Linked DNA regions of Saccharomyces cerevisiae S288C. Changing the gene in region 1 together with any one later gene gives a genetic interaction. Each region holds a gene or a part of one and is shown on either strand. Other genes may lie near its edges. The genes, in order: BNI1, CYK3 and AIP5.

Evidence for each region.
Region 2: mutations in BNI1 (region 1) and CYK3 are lethal when combined (synthetic lethality), as found in Saccharomyces cerevisiae (6 studies listed by BioGRID, with this or other methods).
Region 3: mutations in BNI1 (region 1) and AIP5 together harm fitness more than expected from each alone (negative genetic interaction), as found in Saccharomyces cerevisiae (5 studies listed by BioGRID, with this or other methods).

What each region holds. Positions count from the first base shown.
Region 1 is NC_001146.8:133,156-136,913, forward strand, and holds the start of BNI1 (formin BNI1), read right to left. Parts: upstream 2,229-3,758; coding exon 1-2,228. Other genes in the region: arginine permease ALP1, read right to left, coding at 2,785-3,758. UniProt on the Saccharomyces cerevisiae protein: Required for the assembly of F-actin structures, such as actin cables and stress fibers. Nucleates actin filaments. Binds to the barbed end of the actin filament and acts as a leaky capper, slowing both polymerization and depolymerization.
Region 2 is NC_001136.10:246,585-250,342, forward strand, and holds the start of CYK3 (Cyk3p), read left to right. Parts: upstream 1-1,996; coding exon 1,997-3,758. Other genes in the region: HEM25 (Hem25p), read right to left, coding at 105-1,028. UniProt on the Saccharomyces cerevisiae protein: Involved in cytokinesis by recruiting INN1 to the bud neck. Cooperates with INN1 to stimulate the synthesis of the primary septum (PS) by CHS2.
Region 3 is NC_001138.5:179,076-182,833, forward strand, and holds the start of AIP5 (Aip5p), read right to left. Parts: upstream 1,669-3,758; coding exon 1-1,668. Other genes in the region: IGD1 (Igd1p), read right to left, coding at 3,199-3,758.

The DNA.
Region 1 (3,758 bases):
TCACTTAAAGAATCCCTTTCTGCCTGAATTTCTTCCAATTTCTTCGTTAGAGCTCTACTTTCTAATATAGCTCGACGTGCAACTTCATCAGTCTGCATGGCATCGTAAAGCCGCTGGATAGCCATATTCATATTAGTTTCTTCATCAGAAGTTGAGGCAACACTAACATTAGTCACCAAAGAATCCATAAGTTTCAATTGCTTAGTAAGTTTAGAGGAATTTTGGTTTTCTTCTATTAACTTTGAACTAGAAAGGAAAAGATGTTGAACTAAAGATACTAAAAGCTTTTCATTCTCGGTACCTTTACATATATCCCAAAGGTTTTTTAATAATGATAGTGGATCGTGTAAATCTACATTAAAAGCCTTATTGTTGGCCTCTAATTTAACGTTAAAATCGTCAAGTTTATTATTGTCATATAACTCAATTTGGTCAATTACCTTGTCGTAATCTAGCAGTTTTATTTTGTTCATAATTCGTAAAATTCCACAATTTTCTAGTTTCGTCCTTAATAGCATTCTTTGATTTATGTTATCAGAGCAAGAGCATAAATGATTGATAAAAACCATTGTCCATTGGCAGTATTCTAGAATCGCATTTTCACCCCCACCATTTTTAAATTCATCCGACGCGCCTACTAAGGAACCCATTTTTCCTCTTCCATCTAAAGTTTGTTCAACGGCAAATAACCAGGCTTGAATAATTTTCAAATGACTTTCCAAGGTTAAATGAGAGAAATACTGGGGCATTTTTTTGAAGTTTTGAATCATATGAAGATTTTGCCCTATCCTAAACTTTTTATCTAGTGAGGTAAGAACTGCTTCGAATCTGCTTTTATTTTTTTTTTCTAGCATACAAACAAAAATTTCAGTGGCCATTTTCCTTGTGGCCAGTTTCGTAGAGAATAAACCTTCTGCAACAGTATCAGTCATTAACCTATGTGTACTGAACTCATACAAACCTTGTGAGAGCATTGATAAGACTCTGAAGCATTTAAAAAATGAATTTTCTTTCTCTAATAATTCTTTAGTCAAGTTTTCTCGGGGTGCAGTCTTATAAATAGAGTTCATTAGTACATTAGCCATAGCAATGTGACCCTGATGGTCTATAAAAGCGTCTACCCAGTCTAACTGTTCAGTTCTTAAAGTTACCCATAAATCTTTCATCTCATCGCTAGTAAGTTTGTCTGCCAGGATTCGTTGCACATAATGTATCGGTGGTCTGTTTGTTCTGTCTCCTGGAAGAGTAGATGCACTCGTATTGTTCTCAGCCCCACCTCTATAAATATTGTTTAGAGATGGCTGCTTTTTCAAACTCCCGCTCACTAATTTTTTCCCCTTCGAGGTTGACGTACCTACCGATGAAAGAGTAGTAGAATGATTTAAACTGTTGCTGTATACAGTTGAGGTGGGAGAAGAGGCGCTTGTCATCAAAACAGATTTGGGAGACGAAAGAGATGAATTAGCCGTAAGGATAGGATGATGGTCCGACGCCATCGAAGTTCTGGAGGCAGTGGAAGAAGATGTAGTGTTTGCTCGCATTTTTTTTAGCTCATTTTGTAAATCCTGCTTAACAATCAGCCATTTCTTCTCAATGCTGTAGCCCATCAGAGCTTCTTGTTTGTCCTCTGATAAAGACTGAAAAATATTTCTTTTATACATAATATCTTCAAACAAAACTTCCACCTCGTATGGGTCCGACGGCATTTCTAAATAAATTTTACCATCGGGTGTAGTGAATTTGCTCAAGTTAGTTAGCGAACCTTGAGAGAGAAGACTTGATGCGGAGTGACTTTGCCCGGTATGCTGCCTTGTTAGCTTATTGGACGCCTGTGAAGAATTCCTCTTGGAATACGAATATTTCGATTGCATTGAATGCGACCTTGCGTGCTGTGAGGATACGGGAACATCTCCACTTAATTTACCATTCATATATTGAGACAAGTTTTGTGTGTTTAATGTCGATTTTTTATTCAACGGCCTCGCCTCAGTAGATGTAGACCTAGAAGGTGCATTCAGTTTTCTAAAAGATGACGAAGATGCAGGTGAAGTGGACACTTCGTTTCCCACTGGAGAGTGCTGTTGTTGGGATGCATAGGTCGGAGAACCCGTATTGCTATTCGTTGCATTTGAGTTAGCCAAACGCTTCAAATTTTGGAATATACCAGAACTCGAATTCGAATGACTTTCCTTTGAGTTCGAATGTTTGGAGCCTGAATTCTTCAACATTTCCTTTCCTTCTCTTCCTTTCTTGCTTCTCGTTTGTTGAAAAGGTTCAGGTGCCTTCTTTATGTGGCGTGTATTTAGAATTTAACTAGGCTTGAGTTAAAATGTTTCTCCTCAATACAGAAGATAGATACAAATGGCAAAAAAAAAAGTAAAAAATGGCCCAACTGTATGAGACGTATAAAAAACGTGAAGGGTGAAGAAAAGAATGCCACTGTCCAATTTTATGCTTAATACGAAAATAATTAACACACAGCCGTCAGTGTCCTCTTATCTGTAGGAAGGGTCCGTGCTATTGTTCTTAAAAGGGATTCTAGTTTTCCACATCTGTTTTTTCTTTCTTTCCCTCTTCCACGTCAAAAACTTCCTCTAACCGATGTCGGGTAAGCCATGGAAATTACGGGCGATGACTTTCGGCGGCTAACAACGAAACAACTAGGGAGTAATCATATAATCACAGGAAAAGAGTTGAGCAAGGATTTGGCAAATATACATATACATACATACATACATACATACATATATATGTGTGTGTGTGGTATGGAGTATTATTCTAAAATTATGAAAGGACATCCCAAACTCGTTGCCACCTTGTTTTACATTCTGGCTCTATCCATACCAACTCCTCTATTTGCCGGCGGTCAGAATCGATATCGATATCCTGCAGCTTCCAGAGTAAGCGGCACTTAAACCAAACTTGGAATGATAACCATATGGCCAAAAATAGGAATATTGATATATATGCAGCGACAAAGTCTATAGGCTGAAAAGTAGGTGCGAAAGCGGTGAAGCCCTGGATCAGAACAATTAGAGCGATGAAAAAAGATGCATAATATGCCAAAAAAGGCATCATTTGAGCTTTATAAGGTAAGTCATCCCTCGATATACCACGTTTCCTTATGGCTTGCATGAAACGGATATGAGAAAATGAAATCAAAAGCCAGGCAAAGAAACCGGCCACACCAGTTATGTTCAATAACCAGTTAAAGGCCTTGCCGCTGCCTGCAGAAACCTCTAAGAAAGCCAAAAATCCGAACACGGATGTAGATAGAACAGAAAAGTATGGAACACCACCTCTGGTCACGTTAGACAAGAACCTTGGCGCCAAGCTATTTTTAGACAGACTATACAGTACTCTTGAGCCAATGTACACATTAGAGTTACCTGCGGAAAGAATGGTGATTAGCACGACCGCGTTAAATATATCTGGGAGAACTTTTGTGCCTGAATTCTCAATGCTTATCATAAAGGGCGATGAAGAGACAAATATACCGTCACTATCCAACTTTGGGTCATTATATGGGACCAAAAGGCCAATGAAAAATAGTGAAAGAATGTAAAAGACTAGAATCCTCACTACAACTTTCTTTATTGCCCTCGGGAGAGCTTTTCTTGGGTTAGCCGCTTCACCAGCGGTTATCCCAACCAGTTCAGTACCTTGGTACGTAAATGCAGCATTAATCAAAGAGGAAACCCATCCGAGAAAACGGCCCTCATTTTTATCACTGGAGATAATGCCAGGCCCCCAGGCTC
Region 2 (3,758 bases), on another chromosome or scaffold:
ACGTACTACTAAGCTTCAACGTCACTCTATAAAGAAACTAAAAAGACACGTATTTATACCTTTTTTGAAGAATGCGAGATTGCAATGAAATATGTGTCTATTTTTTACATGAATCTTTTGACCAACTCCTCATATATACCCCACGCAATACCTGCACTGAAGGCCTTTCTTGCCAGCCTCATGCTTAACCCGCTAAATAACTTCAGCACATTTTCATTTTTAACTATAGATGTAAATGTATTGAAGGAGTTGGTAAATTTTGATGGTTCCAATTGCATTCTCGTTTTTATGGTGTCGAACGGTGCCGTTACTGTGGTGGCTAAACTGGCGGATAGTACGGCGCTTGTTGTATTTACTGTTGTAGAGGTATAAGTAGTAAATCCTCCCTCAGGATTGTAATGTATAAACCTAGAAGGTAATACCATGGGCAGTAATTGTTTCGATTTTTCATATAGCAGCACATACAAACCTGCATAGGGAGCGTCTCTTAAACAAGTAGCTCCAAACCCTCTGAAAAATCCAAAAAGTCCTTCCTTAGTATATATATGGGTAATTGCCTCCTTTAAACTGGAGTAATTGTACAGAGTAGACTCATAACGGACTTTAATGACGGTGATAGGCATGGTTATATAACCTACCAAACCTCTTGCAAATGCACCTGTTAGTAAATTTTCATACATCGTTAATCGTGGTAAGCTACTGCTCTTGTTATATACAATGTTTGAATCGTTTGTTAATGAAGGCACAGCATTCCTCCTCTTTGCCAAAGATGAGCGCATAAGGTTCAAACATGATAAATATAAGGCGCTGCCTATTGATGTTCGTAATGCTGAAGGTAATGTACCTCTCCATAGCTGTAGAGGGCTGTCTATCTCTTTCAAATTTTTCCATAATGTAGCTTTCTTGTCTTGCTGGATTCTCGTCTTCAAAAGGTCTAAAGGTTGCAACGCAACAGCAGATGTTAGCCCACCGAAAAAGCCCCCGATCAAATGCGATGAATTTCTTGGCTTAGTTGCTTGCTCAGTCATGTATGCTGCTTCACAAATTGTGTACCTTCTAGTTGTTCCCGCTGTGCTATTTGCTTTTCTTTTGGTATAAGCTTATCCTTTTACTTCAATCACCCCCTCGTGAGAATTTAATGTGGAAGCAATATACTACTACACCGTTGACTTGGAGATTTTCAAGCTCAATTTTGCGTTCACTCAAATCTAAGTCATTTGAAACAAACACAACTTCTAAATATAGCAAGAGAAATAGGTCAATAACGCAGACACATATTTAACATTTAAGATACTGATAGATATTCAAAAGGAAACAGTCACCACAAGCGTTGGAGATTCAGCAAAACCCAAAAAGCAAGAAATTACAAAATCATTGTCTCGCTGATGAAACACCATCCTTTAGTGTTTGTATCCATTCAGCGTACCCTCTTGTTCTTGAGACTGGTGAATTTCGTAACTAGTTGAATATTGCAGGGTTTTCTTTTTCTAAATATGTATTAATGGTGGTGCCTGTCAGGGCGCGATAGAAGTGAAAAATTCTCGAATGGCTGGTTTGGTGGCCATTGAGCTGATCTGAAAAGGATGGTGAGATCAAGCTTGATATCTTGCATGCTTGGACCAACTATTTAAAATAAGTATTGAAAAAGGAGAATTTAGTTTCATTTACTCTCTACAATTGGATATTATACAGTTAAAACAAGAGAAAAGGCCAAAATTAACGGGACTCTGTTTGCATAACATATCTATAATATCAGTTTGATCTACTGCTGTTAAACTAATTTTTCTTTCTTCTGATTTCACTTCGTCCTTAATATTTTAACACATTAACTGTTTGCTATAAGCATACATTGCTTTTACCACTTTTTTTAATAATATCTTTTTATCCGTATTAATTACCGCATATAATTTTAGTTCGAAACATTAAAGGTCAGTCCCGAAGTTATAATTATAACATTTAATTCCTGAATTTACCGTATTACATTTAAATTTGCATAATGGCCACTAACTTAACATCTTTGAAGCCACCATTTAAGGTGAAGGCCAGGTATGGTTGGTCGGGCCAAACTAAAGGCGACTTAGGCTTTCTGGAGGGAGATATTATGGAAGTCACAAGGATTGCCGGTTCTTGGTTCTACGGCAAGTTATTGAGAAACAAAAAATGTTCTGGGTATTTTCCTCATAACTTCGTCATACTATTAGAGGAGAGATTAAATTCGAGCACTGAAAATGGTAGGCAACCTTCAAAAATAGTAGAAAGTTTTGAAAAATCAAATAAAGTTGTTATTCCACCAGTACCATCAAGGTATTCTGACGAGAGGCCAAGGCCTAAAAAGAAGCTATCTTCATCAATGCCCAATTCACCCAAGAAGCCGGTAGATTCTTTGACAAAGGCTAGAAAGGCAAAATCAAAAGAAATGGTAAATGAAAAAAATATCTATAATACCCAATCCTCTCGACATCATAATAACTCAGCTCCAAATTTACCTTTGGCTAGCCATAGTAAGCCTCAAGTACGAAATTTCGAGGAGTCCATGAACAATCCGTTACCACCTCTACCGCCACTACCAGATTTGGACAATATGAGAAAGACAGATAAAAGGGCACCAAAGAAATCATATTCTGCAAACGATTTACATATGGCACGTTCTTCAAGAGAATATAACTATTACAAAGACAACCAGAAATTCTATGATGGGTTTATCCCAGAAAAGAGATATTCTTTAGAAGAGGACTCTATTTCATCAGGCCTGTTTTCAAACTCTCAGTACTTAAATGATTCTGCTTGTAGTAGTGAGAACAGTTTTGCCTTAATGAGTGATTTTAGTGCCACGAGCGCGGGAAGTTTCGCCAGACATAAATATGCACAATCGTTTTCCGATTCATTGCAAAGATCACAGAATGCAAATGGCTGCTCTACAAAGATAAATGATTCACAGGAGTTTGGTGATTCCAATGCTAGTTCGAGAAATGGAAAAATGGGTGATATCCTTAGGAAAATAATTATTCCAAAGAGGAATACAAATATTTACTCCAGTTCAGTATCCTCACCAAAGTCACCAAAAGCATATCCTAAACTACCAGATATTCAGAATTTAAACTTGTCTGCAACACCCGATGAAGCTCGCGATTGGATTGCGGTAAAATGTCACTTGAACAGAGCAAGGACTCTTACCAAATATGACAAACATCCGAGGTATATGAGAGCTCTCGAAGAAAATCGCGACTTGATCTTACATCCTCAAGATTCGATTTATAACGGGCTAAATACCAATGAAGTCAAAGGTAATACAAAGCCCGGTTTGGTCGATGTGGAACTGGCCGAATTAAACATAGAATACATTGATAAGATGACTTGGAAACGGTGTATTAGAGACGGAACTATGACATTAGACAGTTGGGCTCAAACAACTTTTTCAGCAAGATACTCAACTGTTCTGGAAAAGTTAAGAGGCATATACATTTTTTGCACAGAGATGTTTGCTCTGACTGATGATAATGGAACGTCAGATTTTTCTGCGGAACCCCAAAATTTAGAGAAAATACTATACAGAAAGCATTGTACGCCATATGAATTGACATGGCTTTTCAAGAAATTAGCAAACTCATTGGGAATCACTTGTGAAATTGTTATAGGTTTCCTGAAAACACCGAGTGCTATAAATTGGGAGTTTAAGTATAACCACTGCTGGTTGAGAATACTGGTTAACAAAGAATGGAGATTTATTGACGTTATTTTAGGAAATGTAACCAACCCAA
Region 3 (3,758 bases), on another chromosome or scaffold:
TGCTTCAGCTTCATCTTCAAGAACAAGGTTATCTTTAGAAATTTTTGCAGAGTTTGCGCTTCCCTCTATTTCAATAATGGAAGATTTTTCTCCCGCTTCTGACTGCTTTTCATCTCCCCCCATAATTTCCTCTCCTTTTGATGTAGATTCTTCTTCGGTACCGGACACTTCATTATTTCTTACAGCTTCTTGCTCCCCGGTTACATTTTCTTTTTTAACTTTTGAAAAAGTCGAATTTTCTTCTTCTTCTTCTTCTTCTTCTTCTTCTTTTTCAACTTCTACAGATATATCGTTAGTACCGTGTTGTAGATTTTTTTCATTGTCACTAATGCGCTTTGTTGGTCCCATCGTTTCGTCATCATAAGTCTCTCGCTCAGTTTCTGGAGGGATGATACTATCACTACCAGCTGCGTTAAAATTATGGCTCATGTTATTCTCATGATTAACAGATAATTCTTTCCTACATTTTTCGTCTTCTTTATCCTTCTGTTCAAAAACATGGTCTTCTTTCCCGATTTCTGTTTCTTTCTGATTTTTTGCAAGAACTGAAGGACTTATTCCGTCTCTATCACTTTCAGTCTGCTGCTTTTCCCCAGCTTTCAAATGTTTTGATTCGTTCTCTTTGAAATTAAACCCATTCTTAGTTAAACTTTCACTTTCAACATCCTTAGTAGACGCTTGCCCATTTTCATCACCTGCCTCCAAACCGTGCGGCTCTAGTTGGTGTTTAAAAGAAGCTGCATTTCCCTCATTAACATTTAAGATCTCATTCTCTTCTCGAGGTAAGGTATGTTCTGCCTTTTCCTCGTTGATATTGTTCTCGGACTTTGAGGAAGTTTCGTCAACATTATCTTTGTTAGGCACATCTATGTCGAAGGTTTTGTCACTAGATTCATTTCTGGTTCTGATATCCATTTTTTCGACATTAACAGGCTCATCTTGGACAATATTTACTTTGATATCCTCGTTCTTTGAACCATCTTCCTGTAGGTACTCTTCAATGCCTACTAGTATGGAATCTAAAGTTGACTGTTTTGACAAATCAGTAGTATCTGCAGGATTTGAAGAATTACGACCTCTTCTATTCGTGGTTTTTTTCTTTTTGTTTTTTTTTCTTCTCGTAATTGGGCTATTGCCAACCTCAATTCCTGTGGATTCTTTGATTGGTGGTACATTTTCTGTGCCTTCCGCTACATTGTTAGTAGAAGTTTCTTTGATAACTACATTGACGTCTATTGGGATCTGTGTGGGAGATTCTGTAGCGTCATTTATTGTATCTGTGGCTATCTCTATTACGTCGTCTTTTCTTTCCAAATCATGAGAGATTGCATCCCGTGTGGAAGCTTCCTCGGTTTCACCAACAGAACTGGAAAGTTTTACAATAGTATCTCTGTCACGATTCGCCTTTATTTGTCCCTGGTTTTTCTTTTTATGACCTTTCAATTTAGAAGATTTCCTTTGAGATGATAATTCCTGTGCAAAATTCTCAGTGGCATTTATCGCTTCATCTAAGTCACTTTCTGTAAGTTGATCTCGACTTTCTATAATATCATTCGTACTTGGTAAGGGAAGATCTGTAGCAAGTGTCGAATACGAATCTCCAGCACTAGTTACCGATGGGGGTTGAACATTGTGTTCCTGATTTTCTACAGTCAAAGATTCTACCATGTCACTCTTTATTTAATCCAGAGTAATCAAGCACACCAGTACAATAATTGCTAACAGGTTTAAAAAGAGAAAGTGTTCTGGAATAAAACCACTTGCTTATATGCGAAGTGACTACGAAATATTAAGGGAAAATATACGACAATTTCGTGTTCAGAAACTTAACAAATATTTTCATCTTGTCTGTTATATTCTCGGAAGCTTTAGGATAAATTTATCCTTAAAAAAAGGACTGCGCAAGCCCGGAATCGAACCGGGGGCCCAACGATGGCAACGTTGGATTTTACCACTAAACCACTTGCGCTTATTTCTTGGAAGTGTTCGTGTTCTAATAAGGTCACAACAGCTCCAACATTAACCAGAAATACCTGTAAATAGCCCCGCCACGAGGCAACAATTGTCTCTGTATTCTTATCTTTCTCAATAAGCACTTATTAGTTAGTTTACATCCGAGTTCTTGAGCACTCCCCACCTTTTTAGTAGGTCTGAAGTCTTGTTTACAACAGCGGGCACCTCAAGATTGAAAGGAGTTGAGAGTTAGAATATATAATTTTGAAATTAAATTTGAAAATGATGCGATTACCACCGGCAAGTATTCAAAACAAAATAAGACGAGGGAGCTTCATAAAAATTAGGTCGTATATGTTGAAATGAGAGGATTTAGTACATTCTGTATTCATCATATTATAGCCTTTACCAACAATGAAACTCCAGTAATTATCAAATTATTCTCCCAATTCTCACCGAACATGCGGCAACGTTAGGTACGGATCGCGGAAAACACTTTATTTTGTGCAGAGGTACTGTCATGAATACTATGTCAATAAAAAAAGTATCGCATTATCACCACGCCTATATAACATAATCTAAACTATTCGTGAGGGTACAGAAATCCATTGAAATGAATTGATAGTTCTACACGATATCGCTGTCATTTTATTGTACGTTTCAAGTTTTACTAAATAAAAATGACATCTGAAACAGATTAAGTTTTTTTGTAACTTGTGCCCGTTGAAATAGGAATTAACTGTTATAATTGACAATATTCATGTCAACACTATATAGTAATATATAATAAAGAAGGTAACTTAAATGGCGATAGGCGGTCAACAAGTCTAGGGAATCAGAAATGCAAGAATGAATAACGTAATAGGATAGCGAAGGAACATATCAAAAACAAGGGAAAAAAAAATTGGTTCTATATCTAGATATATCTAGAATTTTTGGACTGGTTTTATCTCAATTTCCACCTATCTTTATGTATTATCTTTCGACCGTCTTATCTTTTAATATGGTGGCAGGAATACCAGTCAGACAATGATTGGATCTTGTCTCGGGTTGTTTGTTATCACGTAAGCACCACAGTCCGCTCCGTAGGAAAAGAAAAATAGCCGCCGAGCCACGGGAGCAAATGAGTGAAGAATATGCGCAACGTTTTGGTACATATACAAAAAAATGTAGAAAAGAAGCTAAAGAGATTGACGTTACGTACATATGTATGAGTGGGTAGGTGTGGACGACACTAGGGAGGCTTTACTTCTCTCCAAACATGTGAAGCTGGTTATAGATGTCCTTCTTAAAGTCCTCGTACTTAAAAGACGACTTTCTACGCGTGCCCAACTGTGGAGGAGAGCCGTGTGGGACTCTTGCGCTGTTACCATTGCTGTTGTTGTCAAGGTACGAGTTTTTGAAAATGGGTCTGTTGCCAGCACGAGAACAGATCGGTGTATGGGAGATGGAGTCACCCATATCCACGCCAGCGTGGCTCAGGTCAGAGTCGTTAGTGGTCCTGTATTGCATATTGTGGATAGTATTCTGGAAATCCATGGGTCCGCTACTCCTACGTTCGGCTCCCGGGGCGTGCTCCCCGATACTGCTTTCGCGTTCCCGGGCTTGTTCCCTGGAATTTAGTGCGTCCATATAATTGGTAGACCGCCGTCTAATCATGGGGACTGGCTTGTCTACGCTTTGAGCGGGAGCGCTTGGACCCGGGAGGTTGAATGTAGAAACACTAGGTGTTTCCTGTGCACAGGGCGGTTCGTCGATGTTGAGGAAGTCCTGTGATCTTTCAAATGTGGGTGACGTGCTCACTT